3 linked regions of the Lepisosteus oculatus genome follow. The protein of the gene in region 2 binds, or shares a complex with, the protein of the main gene of each other region. Links are inferred from orthologs where the notes say so. Each region holds a gene or a part of one and is shown on either strand. Other genes may lie near its edges.

What was found.
Region 1: prpf19 (region 2) and xab2 share a complex: the UniProt entries of both Homo sapiens proteins name them as parts of the XAB2 complex. The link is inferred for Lepisosteus oculatus from reciprocal best matches to the Homo sapiens genes PRPF19 and XAB2.
Region 3: prpf19 (region 2) and ppie share a complex: the UniProt entries of both Homo sapiens proteins name them as parts of the XAB2 complex. The link is inferred for Lepisosteus oculatus from reciprocal best matches to the Homo sapiens genes PRPF19 and PPIE.

The regions. Positions count from the first base shown.
Region 1 is NC_090706.1:14,358,307-14,365,910, reverse strand, and holds the start of xab2 (pre-mRNA-splicing factor SYF1), read right to left. Parts: upstream 3,033-7,604; 5' UTR 2,942-3,032; coding exon 2,906-2,941; intron 1,967-2,905; coding exon 1,818-1,966; intron 664-1,817; coding exon 540-663; intron 312-539; coding exon 114-311; intron 11-113; coding exon 1-10. Other genes in the region: G-protein-signaling modulator 1, read right to left, coding at 5,423-5,584, 5,988-6,151, 6,500-6,638, 7,239-7,301. UniProt on the Homo sapiens protein: Involved in pre-mRNA splicing as component of the spliceosome. Involved in transcription-coupled repair (TCR), transcription and pre-mRNA splicing.
Region 2 is NC_090701.1:41,961,448-41,968,919, forward strand, and holds the start of prpf19 (pre-mRNA-processing factor 19), read right to left. Parts: upstream 3,170-7,472; 5' UTR 3,003-3,169; coding exon 2,984-3,002; intron 2,341-2,983; coding exon 2,191-2,340; intron 433-2,190; coding exon 356-432; intron 171-355; coding exon 29-170; intron 1-28. Other genes in the region: voltage-gated monoatomic cation channel TMEM109, read left to right, coding at 7,440-7,472. UniProt on the Homo sapiens protein: Ubiquitin-protein ligase which is a core component of several complexes mainly involved pre-mRNA splicing and DNA repair. Required for pre-mRNA splicing as component of the spliceosome.
Region 3 is NC_090706.1:2,459,844-2,467,469, forward strand, and holds the start of ppie (peptidyl-prolyl cis-trans isomerase E), read left to right. Parts: upstream 1-4,594; 5' UTR 4,595-4,657; coding exon 4,658-4,688; intron 4,689-6,469; coding exon 6,470-6,568; intron 6,569-7,152; coding exon 7,153-7,196; intron 7,197-7,626. Other genes in the region: pabpc4 (polyadenylate-binding protein 4), read left to right, coding at 278-547, 649-739, 1,048-1,170, 1,344-1,477, 1,582-1,672, 2,230-2,360, 3,132-3,224. UniProt on the Homo sapiens protein: Involved in pre-mRNA splicing as component of the spliceosome. Combines RNA-binding and PPIase activities.

The DNA.
Region 1 (7,604 bases), on a different chromosome or scaffold from region 2:
CCGGGCACAGCTGCGCAGAGACAGAGAGTCAGGCCCCCTTCCCGTGCGCTGCGGGCCGAGCCCTCGGCTCTCCCCGCGGGGGAGGGGGGCGGCGGCGGCGGCGGCGCGCTCACCTTGAGGTAGCGGCGGTAGACCCTGACGGCCGTCTCGGGCAGCGGGTAGCGGCAGACGAAGCGCAGGTAGAGCGGCCAGACGCGGAAGTGCTGGGTGACGGGCAGCGCCCGCAGCGCGCGGTCGAACGTCCGCCGGCTGCGCGTGATCTTGCACTGATCCACCAGGAACTGGCAGTAATCCAGCCAGATCCGCGGCATCTGAGAGAGGAGAGAGACGGGAGAGGCTCCTTCAGAACAAGCACTGCACTCTTGCTCCTCCAACGTGCTCACTGAGACACAGGCAGTTTTTCTGGAGGGGGCAACCGGTTTGCCTCTCATAAACTCTCTGCAAGGTTTTTAACTGGTCGGGTACCAGAATAAAGCCCTACTCCCGAGGAAACGCAGACGGGACGGAACAGATCTTGTGGTTGGTTGACGGGCCGCTACCTTGTGCATGAAGACCAGCGCCCTCTCGTGGCAGTTGTTGACCTCCTCGAAGGACAGATCGGTGACACACTTCCCCTTCACCTGTTTCCTGCGCTCCCTCAGGTAGTTGTACCACAGCTTGTAACTGCAGAGACAGCCGGGACTTTAATCAGCAACCACTGAGAGGTGAAAAACTCCTCACCTGCACAACTTGAACTGCATTTAGATTCTGCTCTTCGCTTCACCCCTCAACTACGTGCCTTCCTGTCCCAAAACGATTACCGTAACTCCGGAATCGAAGGCCTTTGCTTCATTATGCTTAGAAATGCTGCTGTGGTTATAATGGTTGATTTGGCTTGCCAACCCTGAATGCTGCACAAAATAACCGCAACAAAATACCAGCCTTTTAACCTGAAGGTTTGATATTAAATGTTCAAGATCTGTCTCTAGATTTTGAATATAGTGACTGAAGAGATTTTCTTTGTGGTCACTTTCTGTTTGAATACCCCAGTGATTAGAAATCAGCCCCAGTACCACCCAGGGAGAAACCTGTGGGCACAACAGTCCTACACACCCACGGCCTGTGAAAGCCATTTGGGGGCAGCAGGCCCCAGGAAGCACAGCTGAGGCCCGTGGCACCCCTAAACCAGAATTCACTCAGTCAGTCGTGATGTCCCCTCTGAGGAGTCATGATCACAGTTGGCTACTGACACAGCCCAGGCTCAATCAGTGTCAGCGGAGCACATACATACACATGCAGCAGACTGCACGTTATCGCAGCGGACTTCTTCAGAACCAACAGCGAAACACGAACCAGAGAACACAACTGGGCACAGCATTTAGACCCGAGAACAGGAGGCGCTTTTCTACACAGAATATCACGGGAGTCAGGAACAAACTACCCTGACATGCTGTTGAAGCGAATGCTACGGTTTCCTTCAATTAATTAACTCATGGGCTCTTGTCTAAGTGAATTCTCAAAGGATCAAAGGTTTCAGTCACTTCTGGCGTGCCTGCAGAATACTCCATAAAGTTATTTCACAGGACCTAGCTGGCTGATTACAAGCAGACTCAGTCTTAAAGCGCTCGTCTTTACAGAAAGGGAGGTGGGGGTGTGGAACAAGCTCCCCAGCCACACGGTCAAAGCAGGATGCCAGGGATCCTTCAGGAAATGGGCTGGTGATGAGACGCCAGGGTCAACGAGCTACCGAACAAGCTGACCTCTCTGAACTCGGGTCCCTGGGCAGAGTCTGTCTGTGTCTCCCGGGGGGGAGCGAGCCGGGCCGAGCCGGGCCTCACCTGCCGGGCAGCTCCTTCAGTGCCCTCTCGTACACCATGTTGAGGACGCTCTTGGGACCACTCTGCTTGTGCTCGATGTACCTCATCCAGCACTTGACGGAGTAGGGGTTCCGGATGATCTCCTCTTCATAGGGGAGGTCTTCTTCCTCCTGCAGACCGGCAGACAGCAGACAGAAAGACAGACAGGGGGGGAGAGAGAGGGACAGAATGAGACAGAGACAGAGGAGGAGGAGGAGAGAAAGAGAGACAGAAGGACGGGGAGAGAGAGGAGTGAGGAAGACAGACAGAAGGAGGGGGAGGGAGAGAGACAGAACGAAGGAGAGTTGGAAAAGTTACAAGTTGCGAGCAAAACAGCGTCTTCGAAAATGCAAACACCACCGTTCCTTCTGATCCCAGCTCCCCCTTATCAAACGTTTGTGCGAAAACGACTGTTTGTATTTATCCCAGTGATCATCCAGCACCTTCAGAGAGATCACGGGTGTACAGAGACACGGGCAGGGGGGAAGAGGGGACACGGATAAGTATTGGTATGTATGGGTACATATTTAACAAAGGGGGAGAAGTACCGTCAGTCGTGTCTACCTCTTCGATACACCAGTTGCTTTTTAAAACCCATCACGCGTTTGACGAGTTGCGAGCTGAGCGTTTAAAATGCTGCCTGAAAACTGCATAAATGCAAAGTCTTCTGAGGGATATTAGGAATGAAGCTGATTCTTTCAAACGTAATTGTTGAGTAATAAATTAAGATTGTTTAAAGATCCGAGTCGTGTGTTGGTCACTGTTTAATCGCTGCAGACGTGTATCTGAAATTAGTAAAAAAACATTAATTGGAGAAACTGCGGTCTGCGTCTCAATTTAAGTACACATCTCTCAAGTTTCCCACTTTTAACAATGCCCATGCCGATGATGACCCCCTATCCGTAAAGCCCTCACGCCAGAACAGGACGCATTCGTCCCCCCTACACTGACTCAGGCAAGTCCGAGGCTCAACCGAGGCCTACGGGGGGAACAAGCTTCAAAATCACGCTACGGCCCGACAGCTACACTTTCCAGTTAATAATAATAAGACTTTACAAAATCCTACTTACAAATGTGACCTCTCGTTTTTCCGTTAATGACGGCATTATGTATGGTATAAAACAAAATTAAGTTTGAAATTCCGTGATAAATTAACTTCCAGAACGCGCTACCGACGAATCCCCCAATCACCGCCCACTGCGGGAATCTCATTGGACAATTCACACTGCGTCATCCTGACAGCCAATGACCGTGCTTGTCTTGGTAAGCCCCGCTACGTATGAAAGTTACGTACTACGACGTAGTGTACTGTGTACATAATGTAACTGAATATTGATAATGATGCAAAGGAGCAAGTTAAAGGTTTATTCCATCCTGAAAAAAGAAGAAAGGAAGCACAACGTTTCGACTGTGGAGCCTTCTTCGGGTGTGATTGGTAATTATGGTTTTGTTAAGCTTTTTTCCACATGTGAAATTTGGAAGCAAAATATTATTAAAACATTGTTTTAAATGGTTAGATGATAAAACATCCCAAAGCGTCGAATTCCTTAAAACCTTAATAAGGAAGATTATCTGAGGTGCGATTATAGCTAGTGAACACTATCCAGGAGTGGTGATCTAAAGTATAGGTCCATTGTGTGTTGCCCATGATCCATAGTCTGGGCCTGGCCACAGACAAGACACCTGCATCGCAAGATGGAAATCGGGGGCAGAGAATGTAGAGGGGAACACACAGAGCTTTCTAACTCTGGAACGCCAGACTAAAGACGTCACTGCGGGGCCTCTCGAACAGGAGCAGTATGAGTTTCACAATGGGTCTTGCCCAAGATTGGAGCTGCAGTCGTGGATGTGGAATACACAGAGAATTAACAAGAACGAAAAGAGCACAGTTAAAATAAAATCCAGGATAAAACTAAACAAAAAAACAACCAGGCATGTTGTGTGTCATGCACTCCTGATTCTCTCTCCCCACTAAAATGAGTGTCTCCTTGATAAGGGTGAGGTGGCAGTTACTGGCCTGTTCAGGGATTGTTTGAGGTTTCACTAGCTGGCTGCAGTGTGTGGAGAAAGAGACACTCAGGGACACTCTTGTGCATCAGCTGTGGAGTTTATATTCTGTGCTGTTAGGAGTGAAGATACAGAAAGTCATACAGACTGCCCTCCTCTCAGATTGACCAGTGTCCCTCCCAGTGCACTGCATTCTTCAAGCCCTGAACCACAGCCTGGGCCAGTCTCACAATTCACCACAGTTCACTACAAAACACTGACGACAAGGACAGGAGAATGTATATCTAACGCTTCTATACGCAAAAAACAGAGTGAGATCTCCAGAGGAACAAGTCCTTCTCTTTCCCTGTGCCTCTCCCTCTCCTCTTTCTCTTTCTCCCTCTCTCCTCCCTCTCTCTCCCAATTTCAATTCAATTCAATTCAAGGTGCTTTATTAGCAGTACAATCAGTGTTGCCAAAGCAAATAAAAATAAAATTAAGATGAAACAGAACACAAATTAAAAATAAAGTAAAATCTACAGACATATTACAGACATTTACAACAAAGACATATCATAAAATATTTACATATACTGTAAACATAATTAGCATTATTGGGAGACAGACTCACTGTTCCTCAGGCTGTGACAGGAGATCACATACTGGGCTGCCAGTTCAGCTGAGTTCCCTCCTCCCTCTCCCAGTAGGATTGGGACCTGTTGTGATTCTGGCAGGTGGGCCTAGATTTCTGAATTTCGGGAAGAATGTTTCTCTAATCCCAGAGTATTTGTCACAGTACAGTGCACCTCTGTCTCTATTTCTCCCCGCTGGCAGTGGGAGCACAACCTGTCCTCTCTGGGCAGCCAGGTCTGCCTGTGTCGCCCAGTTTCTATAGCCAGGCTGTGGTCACTGAGCCTGTACTTCGTCAGGGTCTGTTTCTGTTTGTTGTTTCTTACCTTGGTCAAATATTCGGCTAGTGTGTATTGTCTGTTTAGGGTTCTGTAGCATTCCAGTTTATGTTGTATTTGTGTGTGTGTCCCAGTGTGTGAGATATTATTGTCTGATCTGTGCTGTGATATGGCTGAGTCTGAGTTGTGGTGCTCTTGCAGTACTATCCTGATGCTGGTTAGTGTTGGTGTGGATCAGGTCAGTGAGCCTCAGGACCAGCTGGCTCAGGGGGCTCTGTTTTGGGCTCAGTAGGGCTTTGTGGTGGTAGGAATTTTGGTCTCTGTTTTTTAGGTGTAGCCAATACTTTAATACTCTTTTCTGTATTTTTATCAATAGTGGGTACTGGCCTAATTCAGCCCTGCACCCGTTGTTTGGTGTTTTTCTCTGCACATGGAGGATGTTTCTACAGATCTCCATGTGCAGAGTTTCTGTGGGGTGTTTGTCCCATTGAGTGTAATCCTGGTCTGTGAGGGGACCCCACACTTCACTGCCGTATAGGGCAATGGGTTGGATTACACTTTCAAATATTTGGAGCCAGATTCTTGTTGGTGGGTTGATGTTGAAGAGCCTCCTTCTTATTGCGTAGAAAGCCCTGAGTGCCTTCTCCCTCGGTGCCTTCTCTCCCCCCTCTCCCCAGCCCCCCCAAGTCCCTCTCATGGACGTGTCTTTTTCTTTCCCAGCTGTGCCGTGTGAACATGGTTGATGAAGGAGAAGTAGTCATCTCCAGGAGCGATGGGCCCCGAGGATGTGGGGGGTCGAGGCGGCCCTGGGGGGGCCCCGGGAGTGGGGCAGCGCTGGTCCTCCATCCTGGACCCCTGCGTGCAACACAGGGCAGAAACAGGCAGTTTAAAACGCGGGTTCATGGCGCTGTGGCCCCTAGGCACTGCCTGCTGCTGCTCACCTGCAGCTTGAAGACCATGCAGCAGAGCTGCCCCGCCCCCTGCCTGATCCCTCGCCACGCCCACCCTGCTGCTGCTCACATGCAGCTTGAAGACCATGCTGCAGAGCTGCCCCGCCCCCTGCCTGATCCCTCGCCACGCCCACCCTGCTGCTGCTCACCTGCAGCTTGAAGACCATGCTGCACAGCTGCCCCGCCCCCTGCCTGATCCCTCGCCACGCCCACCCTGCTGCTGCTCACATGCAGCTTGAAGACCATGCTGCAGAGCTGCTCCGCCCCCTGCCCTGCCCCCTCTCCATGCCCACCCTGCTGCTGCTCACCTGCAGCTTGAAGACCATGCTGCAGAGCTGCTCCGCCCCCTGCCCTGCCCCCTCATCACGCCCACAAGGCAACGGCCCAAGCGACACCCGCTGGTCGTCAAGGCGATGACTCTGAGTGGTCATCAGGAGGTCAAAGAGGTCATCGATCTCTGGGCCAGCAGAGCCTGAGAGTGAGAGGAGGAGAGGAGGAGAGGAGGAGAGGAGGAGAGGAGGAGAGAGGGTGGAGAGAGGAGGAAGAGAGGAGGAGAGAGGGAGGGAGTGGGAGAGAGGGATAAAGAAAGAGAGAGAGGAGGAGAGATAGGGAGAGAGTGGGACAGAAAAGAATGGAGATGGAGGGAGGAGGAGGAAGAGGAGGACAGAGAGGAGGAGGGAGAGAGGAAGAGAGAGATGGAAAGAAGGATGACATGAGTCCTGGGTTTCTCCACTCATATTCGTGTTTGTGTGTGGTCCGTGTGGCCAGAATGGAGACCCTTGTGGAAGCCAGGCTAGGGGCGCTCGACGGGGGTACTCACCAGCAGTGGGGGTCCCGCTGGGGGTGCTGACGGTTTTGCCCAGGTCAATGGGGCAGCGCTGCTCATCCAGACGGCCTCCCTGCACTTGGCTCAGGAGCTGGAAGAAGCTGTCGGCCTCTGTGTGCTCGGTGTCTGCCCTCTAGTGGACAAAAAGTGACACTGCAGTGCTCGCTCACAAAACCACAGCGAGAAACGGATGCGTTGCTTAGAGGGAATAAAAAAAAGAAACTTTCTTAAACGTTTTTAAATCTTTTAAACTTGGAAGGATCGCAAACAGATGTCTTGGACTTGATATCCTGACACCTTTTTTTAACCTTCTCAACATCGGTGTGCACATAACAATATAACACAGTGCCCAAGTAGCCAATCAGCACTCTTCCCATTCAGATTAACAGCATTGATTGACCAATTAGCAAACTACAAAAATGTTGATAGTGGTAGCCTATCAGTGGTTACGATTAAATTGGCCAGCCAATCAGAATGCAAAGTTTATTATGAGACACCTAAGCAAGCAAACCCATCCCAGTGGCACAACTTCCATTGTTTTTAATCTACAGTCTTCCAGCTCATTTTATTTTTATAAGCAAAATAAGCAATTTACTGAGTTAGTTTTCTTAACCGAAGCACACGTTAGATCTGACACCTCCCCCTGAAAACCTTCCAGATTTTCTCCAGGCTTTCATGAAGGAGACCCAGAAGCGATGAATAGAAGAACACAGCATCTCTGTTGATTACTCACCTGACGTCCTTCCCTGGAGCCACTCTGGGTCCCTCCCTTTGTGTTTGAGTCCGCAGCAGTCATTGTTAAACTCCAGCCGGGCGAGACACAAAATAAATGAATATTTAAACACCTCAGGTGTAGTCTCAGAGCTGTATTGGGAGTCACAGGCACTGCAGGAGCTGAACACACTCCGATCGGCAGACAGCAAGAGGACCACAGCTCTTTTATAAAGGCGCTTTATCCCTGAGCTCATCCCCAACCTCCCCAGAAACACAGTCATGCTCCATATTTGTGTTAATATCGCCGGGAGCCTCCGCGTTAATCCCAGATAAATGAGCTCATCCCCTGGGATTGCTGCTCAAACGCTCTTTAAGTGAGCTTGAA
Region 2 (7,472 bases):
ACCAGACAAAAGGCACTGAGAGCTGTACCTTCTCTGGCAGCGGTGACCTCCTTGGTGAGCCGGGCAATGACACGGCAGGCGGCATCATGCTGATACAGGGCGTGAGACAGCTCCTGACGAGTCGTCTGCAGCTGCTGTCTGAGAGTGAAGCTGTGCAGCATCACTGCATCCTGAAAGACAGACAGTGGAGTTACTACAGCAAATAAAACACGACAGACCCTCACTGGACACTCCAGTACATTAACACTGAGAGAGAGGGGTTAATACAGTCCAGACACACTGACTGGACACTCCAGTACATTAACACTGCACTGAGAGAGGGGTTAATACAGTCCAGACACACTGAGAAACTCACCCACTCATCCTGTAGTGCCTTGAGAATGGCAGGAATACTGGTTGCAGACGGAGCCTTGGGCCTGATGGGGTGAGAGACTGAAAGAGAGAGAGGGTGGTTAATAGAGACGGTCCCTCTGGAACTCGACAGGTCCTGCTGACACCAGCAGTGGGAGCTCCGCGCATCAGGATCTCGATTCCTTCAGCACAGAAATCAGAAACTGTTTGGACTGTACTTAATGGGTTTTTTTTCTGAAGTCTCTAGCAGTACACAAGGCTTGCTTCTGCATAAGCCAAGAACACAAATAAGACCCCAAGGCTCAGACACCAGGGACCTGGAACAAACTTCTTTCTTCACTAAAGCTAGTTTACGAGTGGGAGTGGGAGTGTGAGTGTAAAACAAACCGCCCTGCTATGACGTTGAAGCCGATACCCTGGACTCTTTAAAGAAACTGCAGGCCGAGATCCTCGGATCAGTTAGTAAGTAGAAGGGTTGGACGGGAAAGGAATCATGATATACATGCATTTGTTCCAGTGGAAGTGTTCAGTCCAACATGAAGGCTCCAATGCAGCACTTCCAGGGGCGAAAGAAGCTACAGCTCTCCCTGCCCCTGCTGGGATTAGACCCCAGCAGCTCTCGGCCGCTGCGGAGACAGGGGATAACTCCACGGCCGAGTCTGACACTGTGCACGAGTCAGAAGGGGCTGAGCACTCCGAGCCCCGCTACATCAGCAGGAACAGCAAGCACGCGTGTGCTTTCAGGTCTGCCGACAGCCTTCCCCGGCCGTGCAGGAGGACACGATGTTGTGCGGAAAAGGACCCTTCCCCGCGCTGCTCGGCTAGATCCACCTCTCCCAGGACGTAGCTCCCTACCGGGTCAGCCATGCGGTAGAACACAGTGCTGAGGTTCATCTTTCACGCCTCCTACAGCAGCGAGCTGCTCAGGCATCCCAGCAGTGCAGCGTGGGAGATGGCAAGACACACCTCACCTTTGATGTCCACGAGCTGCTCTTCAGACAGCAGCTGGACAGCAGACGAGGTTGGGGTTAGGGTTAGACTGACAGCAGACACACAGAATCCTCACCCTTGATGTCTACAAGCTGCTCTTCAGCAGCTGGACAGCACTGGGGCTGGGATTAGGGTTAGATTGACAGCAGACACACAGAAGCCTCACTCTTGATCTCCAACAGATGGACAGCACTGGGGCTGGGATTAGTGATAGAGGGACAGCAGACACACAGAAGCCTCACCCTTGATGTCCAGCAGATGGACAGCACTGGGGCTGGGATTAGGGCTAGAGTGACAGCAGACACACAGAAGCCTCACCCTTGATGTCCAGCAGCTGGACAGCACTGGGGCTGGGATTAGTGATAGAGGGACAGCAGACACACAGAAGCCTCACCCTTGATGTCCAGCAGCTGGACAGCACTGGGGCTGGGATTAGGGCTAGAGGGACAGCAGACACACAGAGGCCTCACCCTTGATGTCCAGCAGCTGGACAGCACTGGGTTGGGATTAGTGATAGAGTGACAGCAGACACACAGAAGCCTCACCCTTGATGTCCAGCAGCTGGACAGCACTGGGGCTGGGATTAGGGCTAGAGGGACAGCAGACAAACAGAAGCCTCACCCTTGATGTCCAGCAGCTGGACAGCACTGGGGCTGGGATTAGTGATAGAGGGACAGCAGACACACAGAAGCCTCACCCTTGATGTCCAGCAGCTGGACAGCACTGGGGCTGGGATTAGTGATAGAGGGACAGCAGACACACAGAGGCCTCACCCTTGATGTCCAGCAGCTGGACAGCACTGGGGCTGGGATTAGTGATAGAGGGACAGCAGACACACAGAAGCCTCACCCTTGATGTCCACCAGCTGCTCCTCGGACAGCGGCTGGCCGGTGATGGGGTCAGCGCCGTTCTCCGCGATGTACTTCTCGATCAGCCGCCGCTCGAACACCTGGTTGGACACCGGGGACACGCAGGGGTGCTCCGGCACCTCGTGACAGACTGGGGGAGAGCAAGACGGAGTCAGTGTCCACTGAAGTTCACACAACCCCCCCTCCCACGGCAACACAGACACGGCTGTTAACCCACGAGGGTAACGGCCTCTCTGAAAATCATCCGGGAAAACAAAAGCAGTCGTCTTTGAACGTCTGCATCAGGCCCTGCGGCGCACAAACCCGCCTGTGCCCAGGCAGCAGGTACTGTTACCATCAGAACTGCAAGGCCAGAGGACCCTTGCACAGCTCCCTTCTCGAGTGGGGGAGCCTCACGCAGGACTGTGGGCTCACACGTGCAGTGGCACAATCCTGCCGCCGCCGATGTTACTTTTAGGCAGAAAAACCCGTCTCAATAAGCAGCGATGAGGCGCAGAGACTGCAACACGGGAGAGAAACGAACTTCCGTCACCTCCCCCGACCCACACTCCCACCTCACCTCAACTCAACTCGCGCACCCAAAACATTCCCAGAAACACAGGCTTTTTCTACACAACACACGAAACCCACGCTACTGCTGCTACTATCGGCAAATTCACGATGTGTATCGCCGCAAGCCCTGGAAAACTCGACTGCGTGCCGACATTTACAACGCGTCTTTACTTCACAATGAAACTCTTTTTTTCCGAGCTTTCCCGGCGGCCAGGACTTACTAGCACAAACGAAAGACATGATTCAAACCCTCCAGCCAACAACGGAATCGGGTGCTGGAGATCTCCGCTGTCCTTTCGGTAGATTTGATTTATTTTTTACACACTTGCCCCAGCGAATTACAACTCTGCAACAACACGCCGCGCGACTTAGTACCGCCGCGGCGCGCTCGGCATGCTGGGATAGCTTCCGAGAGCTCCCGGTCCTCCAGCCCCGCCTTCTCCCACATCTTGACCAATGACAGGTGTTCTTACTCGGCGCGATGCTCCTCCGACACCGCCCATTTGACAAATTGAGCCAATCCACAGGCGAATCACGACTTACAGGCCCGCCTCCTTCTGGGTCGAGAGAAAGGTTGTCGTTAGAGCGCCAGGTACTCTCATTTTCATTGGCTAAAAGAAATTTCTGTTAGCAGTATGCGACTAGAGTGGGAAAGCCAGTGAACGTGTGAGCTTGCAGGCCATCCTAAGAAATGTTACGTCTAACCCATTGGGTTGGTAGAAGCTATTAGCACTACAATCCCATCCAGCTGTTTCTTGAAAGAAACCAAGTGTGGAACAAGTGGCCCAGTTCAGCTGAGTTCGCTTGTCTTATGCACGAGTGCAATGAAATGCTTGTTTGCATGTATGCTCCAATACAAAGACATTGAGGAAACACCAAAATATAAACACAGAACAGCAGTGAAGTGAAATCACATACAATTTAAAATACAAGTCAGCACAAGAAATGTGGAAAAAAAACGTCAGTATGAGTCAGTGGTAGAGGTAGAATTGAATAATCTGAAGTAGTTCAGGTGGGGAGCTGCGTCAGCATGCGTAGGCTGCAATGGAACAAGTAATAGGTTTATTCCATGCTGAAAAGAGAAGAGAGAAAACGCAACGTTTCGGCACCTGAAGAAGGCTCAACGGCCGAAACATTGTGTCTTCTTTCTTCTCTTTTCAGCATGGATTGAATAATCTGACAGTTTGCAGGGAAGAAAGTGTCTCTGAATGTGGAGGAGGTTCGTGACTTTATGCTCCTGTAACGCTTACCAGCGGAAAGGGGGAAGAAACCAGGATAATTAATAATAATAATTGCTTACACTTATATAGCGCTTTTCTGGACACTCCACTCAAAGCGCTTTACAGGTAATGGGGACTCCCCTCCACCACCACCAATGTGCAGCATCCACCTGGATGATGCAACGGCAGCCATAGTGCGCCAGAACGCTCCCCACACATCAGCTATCAGTGGGGAGGAGAGCAGAGTAATGTAGCCAATTCATAGAGGGGGATTATTAGGAGGCCATGATTGATAAGGGCCAATGGGAAATTTGGCCAGGACGCCGGGGTTACACCCCTACTCTTTTCAAGAAACGCCCTGGGATTTTTAATGACCACAGAGAGTCAGGACCTCGGTTTTACATCTCATCCGAAGGACGGGGCCTGTTTACAGTACAGTGTCCCCGTCAATATACTGGGGCATTAGGACCCACGTGGACCACAGGGTGAGCGCCCCCTACTGGCCCCACTAACACCTCTTCCAGCAGCAACCTTAGTTTTTCCCAGGAGGTCTCCCATCCAGGTTCTGACCAGGCTCACACCTGCTTAGCTTCAGTGGGTTGCCAGTTGTGAGTTGCAGGGTGATATGGCTGCTATGTATGATGTATGAGTTGCAGGATGATTTGTATCCACTGATGTCGTTGAAGCCGATACTCTGGCTTCTCTCAAGAACCTGGACGAGGTCCTGCAGTCAGGTCAAGAGGCATGTCTTTACACAAAGGGCGGTGGGAGTGTGGAACAAGCTTCCCAGCCATGATGTTAAAACCAATACACTGGTTTCTGGATGCTGGATGAAATCCTGGGATCAACTAGCTCCTAACTACCCAACAGGGGGCGAACCGGTGGCTCTGTGGCTAAGGATATGCTCCTGTGGCTGGAAGGTTGCCGGTTCAAATCCCGCAGCCGGCAGAGGAATCCTACTCAGTTGGGCCCCTGAGCAAGACCCTTAACCCCAACTGCTCCAGGGGTGCCGTATAAATAGCTGACCCTATGGAAATATGAAATAATGAAATATAAAAGCTCCCTGTCTGTGTGTCTCATGGAGAGCAAGCTGGGGTATGGGAAAAGACAAATGCAAGAAATTGTATATGGCCAATAAAGTGGTCTTATCTGAAATCTGGTCTTGGGTCGGTGTGGGGGAGAGACACACAGGTCCCCTCACAGTGAGCATTCTCAGTCGAGTGAACGAGAAGTGCACACGGGCCTCTCGATTCCAACAGTCCTCCTGTTCTCACTGACGCCCCCTCCTGCCTCGCAGAGCCTGATCGCAGCCGCCGTCTCCAGCCCCCGTCCGCGGAGGACAGAGCTCAGCTCCGCTTGCAGTTCAAAGACTTTAAAGGGGTCACCCAAAACCACAGACACAGAACAGCAGCCACAGCCACAAACCCAGTCACCTCACACGCAGCTTAAATACAGGTCTGAATGAGCACATCAGGGTGAGCCAGTGACGGGGAGGAGAGGGGGGTCGGTGAAGATGCTGAGCAGTTTCGGGGCTCGGCGGTGGGGCGCCCCGTGAGGTTTCTTCCAGTTTGTTCACAATTACGATCCGTGGGTGAGCAAGAGAGTCCAACCCGCTCTTCCAAACCAGGAACCCCCTCTTCCTCGGGGGAGCACAGGGCCCGAGAGGGCAGGGCAGGGCAGGGTGGGGAGATCAGGACGCCGGAAAGCTCGGTGCGGGGAAGCAGGTGGCCGAGGGTGGCACCAGGGTGGCATGGCAGTGCCCCGCAGCCCAGGGCCTGACTGCAGGAGGGCAGTGCAGTGTGTAACGGCACAGCTGGCTGACTCGTGACCCAGAGGTGCTGTACGCAGTGTGTGAATTAAAGCCAGGGGCCCTCGGGTCAGGACCCGCACGGGTTGGGAAGTCTGTTAAGACGGGGGCGGCGGAGGCGCGGAGGCAGTTTTGCAGGATCGGTGTGAGAGCCCCGCTATCGCGTGGCAGAGATCTAACCTCCCGGGAGGTTATAATAATAATAGTAATAATGATAATAATAATTGCTTGCACTTATATAGCACTTTTCTGGACACTCCACTCAAAGCGCTTTACAGGTAATGGGGACTCCCCTCCACCACCACCAATGTGCAGCATCCACCTGGATGATGCGACAGCAGCCATAGTGCGCCACAACGTTCACCACACATCAGCTCTCAGTGGGGAGGAGAGCAGAGTAATGTAGCCAATTCATAGAGGGGGATTATTAGGAGGCCATGATTGATAAGGGCCAATGGGAAATTTGGCCAAGACGCCGGGGTTACACCCCTACTCTTTTCGAGAAACGTCCTGGGATTTTTAACTGCAGAGAGTCGGGACCTCGGTTTTACGTCTCATACATCTCACAGAATATGTTGTAGTCCTGTACTGGACGCTGTCCATTTGCCATTAGGGAATGACAATAATAAAGTTTACTTTGGAATTCAATTGCACACAAACTACAACTCCCGAAATGCAACGGTGCTCCAACGCCCCTCGCCAGGCACGGGCTTGGCTCCAATTTAACATGCATACTGTGTGAGTCACTCCGCTTTAGTCTGGCGGGTAGGGCGGGGCGGGGTGGCTCAGGTCGTTTAAGGAGATACAGCTCAGCAGAAGGCTTCTAACATTGTAGCGGTAACTAATATTAGCGATAGGAGCGTCCTAAACATTGCCCGTGTTTGCTCGCTTAGTTAGCCGAACTTTTAATTGCTTCGCTGTTTTAACTCGCTTTTTCCGATATCGTCAGCCTTTAATTAAAAAAAAATATTACTTCTTTAAAACAGCAACAAGTAGTTAAACCCGGATCGAAAGCTACATTAAGGAGCCCTCGTTTGGACTGAAGACAGACCTCCATTTGCACAAAACTCTCTTCTCCAGCGCCAGCTGTGTATTTTTTTAAAGATATCTATTTTTAGCCGCAGAAGGTCGCGGCTTAATGTGGTGTTTTAGATTTCAGTGCGACTTTATTTTATCTCCCAGTGAACTGTGCCTTCGTGTGGCTCAGCAGTCCAGACAAGGTTGTGCAGGCTGTGACAGAGGCGCATCTTATACCAGGATATATCATTTTTAATAAAATACATAAATCGCCGCTGAGTTTCAGTTGATGTTCTAAGTTTTTCGGGAGTCTTTTTAGCAACCTTTTCGTCGTCTTAGATTTAATCTTCTACAACCTGGTTTAACTGGGAAACGAGCGCGGCCTCTGGACTGCAGATACTTCATGAGGGAGAGCTGGTTCACTCGCACTTGAAGAGGTTCCTTTAAAATTGGATTTAAACTTCTATTATTGCGAGACAGCTGTGCGTTTTCTAAAAAAAAGGGTTGCTCTCTGATGAGTAACATTCTCAGCTTTACGTGCTAAGCAGGGCGGACGGGGCTCAACTCCAGGTTTTAAATCGCGAACTCGCCCGTCGGCTGTGTTGGAGTCCCGATCTCGGACAGGTGCTGGCGATGGCTTTGTACCCGCTCCGGAGACCCTTCGCT
Region 3 (7,626 bases), on a different chromosome or scaffold from region 2:
TTAATGGTGTCTCACTTCTCGCTCACAGCCCAGCATTTGGTCTAGCTGCTCGTTAACGGGCCTACGTAAAACTTCACTGCGGTAGGTCTTCCCCAGATCACAACACAACCGTAGGAAAGGACAGCACATTCAGGAGAGGCTGTAGGAACATGGTGGAGGACTGGACAGTGTTGATAAGAACGGAAGAGCATTGCAGTGCCAGCCTGCAGAGTGAAGGGCCATGCCCGTGCAGTAGGCGCTCCGGTCCTGATGCTGCTGCCTCCCTCTGTCTCCCCAGGTGATGCTGGAGGAAGGGAGGTCCAAGGGCTTCGGGTTCGTGTGCTTCTCCTCCCCGGAGGAGGCCACCAAGGCCGTGACGGAGATGAACGGGCGCATCGTGGGCTCCAAGCCGCTGTACGTGGCGCTGGCTCAGCGCAAGGAGGAGCGCAAGGCTCACCTCACCAACCAGTACATGCAGCGCATCGCCGGCATGAGGGCCATGCCCGCCAATGCCATCATCAACCAGTTCCAGCCCGCCGGCGGCTACTTCATGCCCGCCGTGCCACAGGTGCGGGGGAGAACGGGGGTGAAATGAAGCGTGGGGGTGTTTGTGCCCCCCGCGAGCTGGGGAAAGGTCACGTCTGCTTTACCTGTGTGTCTTTCTTCCAGGCCCAGAACCGAGCGACGTACTACGCGCCAAATCAGCTGACACAGATGAGGCCCAACCCACGCTGGCAGCAGCAGGGGGGCCGACCACAGGGTGAGGAGCTCTGAGCCCCCGGGGGTGAGGGGTGGGCGGGAGTGAAAGAGGAAATGGACTGTCCCGTTTTTCAGAGGGGTGGTGACCATGTGAAGCTTGAATCCTTTTGTGCTGGAAGCACCAATACATCTGCGATGCCATCGATTTTAACTGCACGTACTTTAAACAGGATAAGCAAGAGAATGCATACTGTCTGCCAGTTCACCTAATTTCCCTGCTCAAGCTCTTATCATAAATACTCCTGGGTGAGCAGAGACGCAGAGAGCTCCTTCCCTTCATCTCCTCCCCCTCTGTCCTTCCCCCTGCAGGTGGCTTTCAGGCAATGCCTGGCGCCCTGCGTCAGAGCGGGCCCCGTGCCAACCTGCGGCACCTGGCGCCCGGTTCCAGCACGCAAGGCCCCCGGGGAATCCCAGCTGGGGCGCAGAGAATGGGTAAGGAAGAGGGAAGTGCAGAAAGGGAGGATTAAAACTACGGAGCTGTGTGAGGCCTAAAAAGGTCACTTGCATTTGTCAGTTGTTGTTTTCTGATGGAAAATGAGGTCTCGGGTCAGACCTGCACTCTGGGACTGAGCTCTCGCTCTCCTGCTCTTGCTGTGTGTTTGTAGGAGGGGCTGGTCAGACCATGGGCCCCCGTCCCTCCGTGGCAGTGCCAACGCCAAGGGCCGTCCCACCCTACAAATACGCCACCAGTGTGCGCAACCCCCCGCCCCAGGTGATGCAGCCCCTCTCCCTGCAGCAGGTACGGACGGCTTCTCGGGCTCCGCTGGGGATAGACGCAGGAGGTAGTCAGCACCTACTGGTGTCGGAGGTGCCTGTCCCACACGCTCTCTCTGCCTTCCTCAGACCCAGCCGGCGGTGCACGTCCAGGGACAGGAGCCCCTCACCGCCTCGATGCTGGCCGCCGCCCCCCCACAGGAGCAGAAGCAGATGCTGGGTGATTACGAGACGCCATTGAGTGTCTTCTCACCCTCAGTGTCCTTATCGGTGCAGGAGCAGTTCCCACTTGCTGGTCGATTGGTCAGCAGCTTGGATCCAAAAAAGATGTTTAGGGATAGCTTAGTACTGAGGAGGAAGAGTTTGCTGTTCTCATCTTCTCAGCTTCATTCTCAGCTTCTCATGGATGGAGGATTCCCTCACCTCTCCCTGCTTGGGAGAAGTCAATTTCCTGTCATCCTTACTCACCTCTCATTTTCAACAAAATTACCAAAACGGGATTTTGATCAAATGTTGCACTGTATGTTACTTGCCCTTGTGTCATGATGCCTTCTGTGTGGAGCATAAGTCTGTAGAACCTACTGCTAGGGCTGACCATAAATCAGAGGTAGGGTGATTTAAAACAGGTGATTCTTAGACTGGATGCTACTTTTGAACATTATAAAATAATAATAAATCAGGCGCAATAACACAAACATTAAAAAACTAGGTCTAAGGAGATCACATTTCACCCTCTTCTTCTCCTGACTCTCCTTTACTTCCTCTCTCTCAATCCAGGGGAGCGCCTGTTCCCCCTGATCCAGGCCATGCACCCCAGCCTGGCTGGGAAGATCACCGGAATGCTGCTGGAGATCGATAACTCAGAGCTGCTGCACATGCTGGAGTCCCATGAGTCCCTGCGCTCCAAGGTACGCGGCCGGCTCCACGCAGGGAAACTCAGCCGATGGATTACACTGATCATCCCAGGGGATCCCTGTACGTCTTTACCGACAGGATGGGAAAGCCTTCCGCAACCCGCCCACCTGGGTGACACACTGCTGCCCAACTGCACAGCAGGGCAGGTGGAGAAGCCAGGGACTGCTCTGCCACCTGGGGTAACAGGGAGTTTGTAGTAGGCTAGATCGTACAACTGGGATTTAACCATGGCGCTGAATCTCAGGGTCAGTGTCAGGGGCTCTTTTAAGAGTCACGTAGTTGGGACCTCGGTTTTAACATGTCATCCAATAGGACAACATCTGCTCTAGCAGAGTGTCTCCAGTCATACTGGGGCGGTGGTTTCATGAATTGTGATCCAAAGGGAAGAATCACCTGCTGGACCTCGAATCCCACATGCAGGAGCAATCTAGTTTTTCACCAGGGGTTTTCCCATTCTGGTCCTGCCAAAGCTGTAGTTTCCGAGATCAGAGGAGTTCAGGCTAGAAGGTGGCAGCATCCATTGCAGATACGTGGTCTTGAGTCTTATAAGCACTGTATTGCAATAATGACTGTTTGTCAGTGATTCAGGATCACTCATTCTTTAATAAAAGAGTCCTGGGGTCCCTTCCATGTGCTGAACGGCTGTACGAGCCCATTCCATCAAGACGGGGAAGCTGAATTGCATGCAGCCGTACAGCTGTGTGTTGTCCAGTCTTGTGTCTTGTTGTAATTGAATTATATTGCATTGCACTGCAATGACTCAGGTTGAAGAGGCCGTTGCTGTGCTCCAGGCTCACCAGGCAAAGAAGGACGCTGCGCAGAAGGTGGGGGTCATCACCACGGCTGCGACCTCCTGACGGGTAAGGGTGGCTGTGGCCGTGGAGGCTCTGCTCGGTGCCAGACTGCAGAAACCGCAACTTGGGGGGCTTCGCACCCCTCCGCTGAAGAAGAGCGACAGATCAGACGTGCTTGGCTGGTTCTTTCCTACTTTATGACAGAAGCAGATCTGCAATCTTTTCACTAGGCATTTTGTGCACCTCCCAGTATTGCCCTGGAAGCCTTCTCTGAACAGTGCTTCCCCCTATTGGCCATCACACCTAACAGCCACACCGCTGTTCTGTCTTTGGGACATTTTCCACGTTGTCCCAAACCTGCATCCTTCAAAGCAGGGGGCATCAAAACCTGTGCAAGGGCTTTTAAAATTTCCAGCGACTGCGTCTGTTATCCTGGGGCTTGCTGTGGTTTGTGCTACACTGTGACATACCATGCCTCTTACCACTCAGCTATACTTCACTCTGCTTTTGCTGTGGTACAGCATCTGATCTGATCTGATCGATACAGGAGGCAGCGGAAGATGTGCTGCGTGGTGGGGGTGGGTGGGGGGGGGGGGGGGGTGACATGTGCTTACAGAAGGGACATGGGGGGCTTTTTTCCAGGAAAGGGGAATAAAGGTTTCTTTCATTTTCCAGGCTTTTTCAAGAACTAGACCCAAAGAAGAGGGATCCAGTGGTCTTCGCTGTCGCATTTACCTGGTTCTTCCTGTAAACTGAATGCAAAAATAAAACCATACTTGAACAACTTAAAAAAAACATATAATTACAATTCTTTTAAATTATATTTTAGTAATTAATAAATGAAATATATATATATTTAAATTATATAAGTACAAGCTGAAAGGGGGATTTGTTTTTAACAAATACTATACTTGAACTGTTTGTTTCTTGTGGCCAGGACTGTTTTTTTTTCTCTCCCTGGGGAAAAAAACTTTTGACTGCAGGCTTTTGAGTTGTGGTGATTTGATTGGGATGGTTGAAACCTCCGACCCCTGTAATCCCTGGATGGTGTGACTTTCTCAATAAAGGATGAAACATTGATGAACTTGCCCCTGGGTGTGTCTCTATCCTTACCCTCTCGTTCCCTTCTTGTTCGCCTCGTCTTATCCTCTTGTTAGAGGGCAACACCAGTTTTTCCACGGGAACCGTAAAATGCATCTTTTTTTAAAACAGTTTGAAGCGGACAAACAAATCCCACAGTACTGAAATTCATCCAGCGACACAACCTACTTGATGTCTTTTTAGCCGCCAATCTTCAGCGGTCATATAGGCTCAAAACAAAAACTACGGCAATTTAAAAATGGGTGTAATTTCTGCCTAACACTGAACTCGGACGCGCACAATCTCACGGATCTATACTGAACCACGTGTGGGACTTACTGCCGCACGGAACGGACATCTGAAGGAGTTGCACAGGAAAGGGCGGGGTTTATGTTGGGTCAAAGGGCACAGTGAAGATGGCGGCCGCCAAGCGTGTGCTGTATGTTGGTAAGTTGTTTAAAAAACTGCTTTTGTGAATTGTATGAAGAAATAAGAAAGTTTGAATGACATTTTACTGCTCTGTAAGATACGGTTCTTTCTTTGTCTTAGTCTTGAAGATTAGGTTTCAATAAGTGTTAATGGTTTCTTGGTGAACTCATTCCTTGATCCCCAATGCCCATCTCACCATAGTGTCTTTTGATAAACACTTTGTTTTTAATTTAAAGGATGAATTGCAAAAGCATGCCGTGCATTTAAAAAAATAGCCCTGGCTGGCAGCGGTACCTCTAGCAGATTCAAACGATGAGCGGGACAATGACGTAATTAAAGCGACAGATTACAGTTGCACTTTACTATGTTTTGTGAAAAGCTTGACCACCACATGCGTATCCCTTAAATGTCGATTGTTTTTATTCTGAATGGTTTATTTCTGTTCAGTTTTAGTCTTTTGCTGTTTGAGACGCTTGTCAGCCCCGATTTAAGTTGACATATTGGGAAAACACCGACTTGATGGTTGCACCCAGGCACTATTTGAAGTCCTTTGAGTACTCTTGTGGACTATTGTATGAGTTGATGATCACGCCCAACTTGTCTACTTCTCAGAAAGCAATATGATAGAAACAAGTGTTAGCTTAACAGACGTTTGCTTAAATTGATGTTTTGTTAAAATGATTGGTAAGTCGAGATAAAAGTGAGTGAAAGGATATAGTAAAACTGGTAAATGTTTTGTGTGGATGTATAGTTATACTGTATACTGTTTTTGAGTAGCTAAGTCTGAAACACACATTTAGTCTCACTTCTGTTCTACAACCTCCTTTTATTTCATTGATTCTCATGGAAAAAGCCCCTGTGTGCTAGCTCACATGGGCAAAAATCCTAACCTCCACGTTTACCTTGTTCTTGCGTTGTTCTACTGGGGAGCAATCCCCCTATATATCCCATTAGGTCCCTAATGCCGGCGTCACACTACGTGACTTTTCCTAGGATTTTCAGTTGTAGCCTTCATGTACACGATCGGAAGAAACTCACAGCGAGTTGTAGAGTCGCAGTGTGCGCCCGTTACCGTCAGCTGTGTAGTGTGACACCCCCAGCGACTCAGTCATAGCGCTCTTAACAGCCCCCACCACTCTCTGCAACTCGCTACGATAAAATCACACCGTTTGATTTTCTGGTAGCGAGTCGCAAGTCGTAGTGTTGTGCAGTGAGCCAGGTGTGTACTCGTGAGATAATGTGCCCATTATATTACACGTTCTAGCGCAATACTAATTTGTTTACACTATTTGTTTTAAAGGTGTTTTATATTTTTAACTGTTTTATTTTTGTAAATTCGTTCTATATTTATAAAGAAGAATGATATTTTTGAAGGGGTCTATTTGTGGAAAACAATGCCTGTGTCACCCTTGTCAGGATGTTTCCGTGCTCGTCCTCCATGTTGTTTGTTTACTTTCGCGCGGCGCTCCTCCTCCTATTCCAGTGTGCTCTACGTTGATGGGCTGCCAAAACGAGGGGACCCCACGGTACTTTTGCGGTGCAACACGAGATTTGAAACTGTGATGAAACGTCGTGAGGGAATCGTGTAATTAGTCACCCCCTGCTTTTCCTAGTCGTATAATTTGACGCCCTCTAGGACAGAAAAGGCAGCGAGATTCAGCAGCTGCAGTCGTTAAATTTGACATGCTCTCTGACTAGAAGTCCGTATAGGCCTGTAGTGTGATGCCGACGTGCGGCGGGGACCCTTTACTGACGCTTGGGGATCGCCTTGGTCACGTGTGAGTCTCCCTGTCTCGCAGGTGGCCTCGCGGAGGAGGTGGACGAGAAGGTTCTGCACGCGGCGTTCATTCCCTTTGGCGACATCACCGACATCCAGATCCCTCTGGACTATGAGACAGGTTAACACACACGCTGCGAAAAATGGTTTCCCACATGTCTTGCAGAAAACGATAGGGCCGCCAAAAATTAACTGTCCAGCCTTGGAAGTAGTCTGACAGCAGTGTTGCCATTACTATAGTCAAAGGACTATCAGTTTGGTGCTAAAGGTGGTTCTGGCTGAGCAGGAGGTGCCACTCTTCCATCTGGACCAGTTTCCTAACCAAAGCTCCACACAGGTGACTGGACCTCCCCTGCTTTAGCAGGTGCCACACTTCAGATGAGATGTGAAGACCCGGTCCTTACTGCTTTGTCTTTAAAGCATGAAAGAATAGAGGTGTTCTCTACAATATCAAAGCTAAATTGCATTTGGGTTTGAATGATTTGGGTTCCCTAAAGTTCCTTTTTATTGGTTTTCCAAATAGAAACTGTGTTGAAGTCGATGCAGGTTTCTTTCATGGAACAACTGGATTTAGTCACGGGATCAGTAAGCTTCTGACTACCAAGCAGGCTAGATGGACCAAACGGCACCCTTTCGCTTGCAAACTTTGTGTTATTGTGAAATGTTGTCTGTTCTTTTAATACCTGTACTGCTCTCTGTTTGCAGAAAAGCACAGAGGATTTGCATTTATTGAGTTTGAGCTGGCTGAGGTGAGTGTTGTCTCTTGTGAGGGTCTGACTTCTTCCTAAAAACGTTAACAATTTAACTCGTAGTTGTAGTGTCTAATGTAATATCAAATATCCATCACCTCATCGTAAAAGTATCTAATGATCTTCCTGTACTTTAGAATGTTTACTCAAAAACACATTCTGATTTGTTGACTCTTCAACCTGTCTACAAAATAGTGGAGATAGTTTGGAGAGCCGCTGAATGGATCTCTCATCTGAAGTGGGTGCAGTGCAGTGATTGGCCTGTCTCTGCAGTGTCTCATTGCTTAGCTCTACAATCCTGGTCCTGGAGAGCTCCTGCAGCCTTAACAGGCATCACTAAATGCTCAGTGAGCAGAGGTTTGGACTACCCATTAAACAACTGATTGTGTCAAGCAGAAGACATTGCAGCTAGCCAGGACCAGAGTTGCAG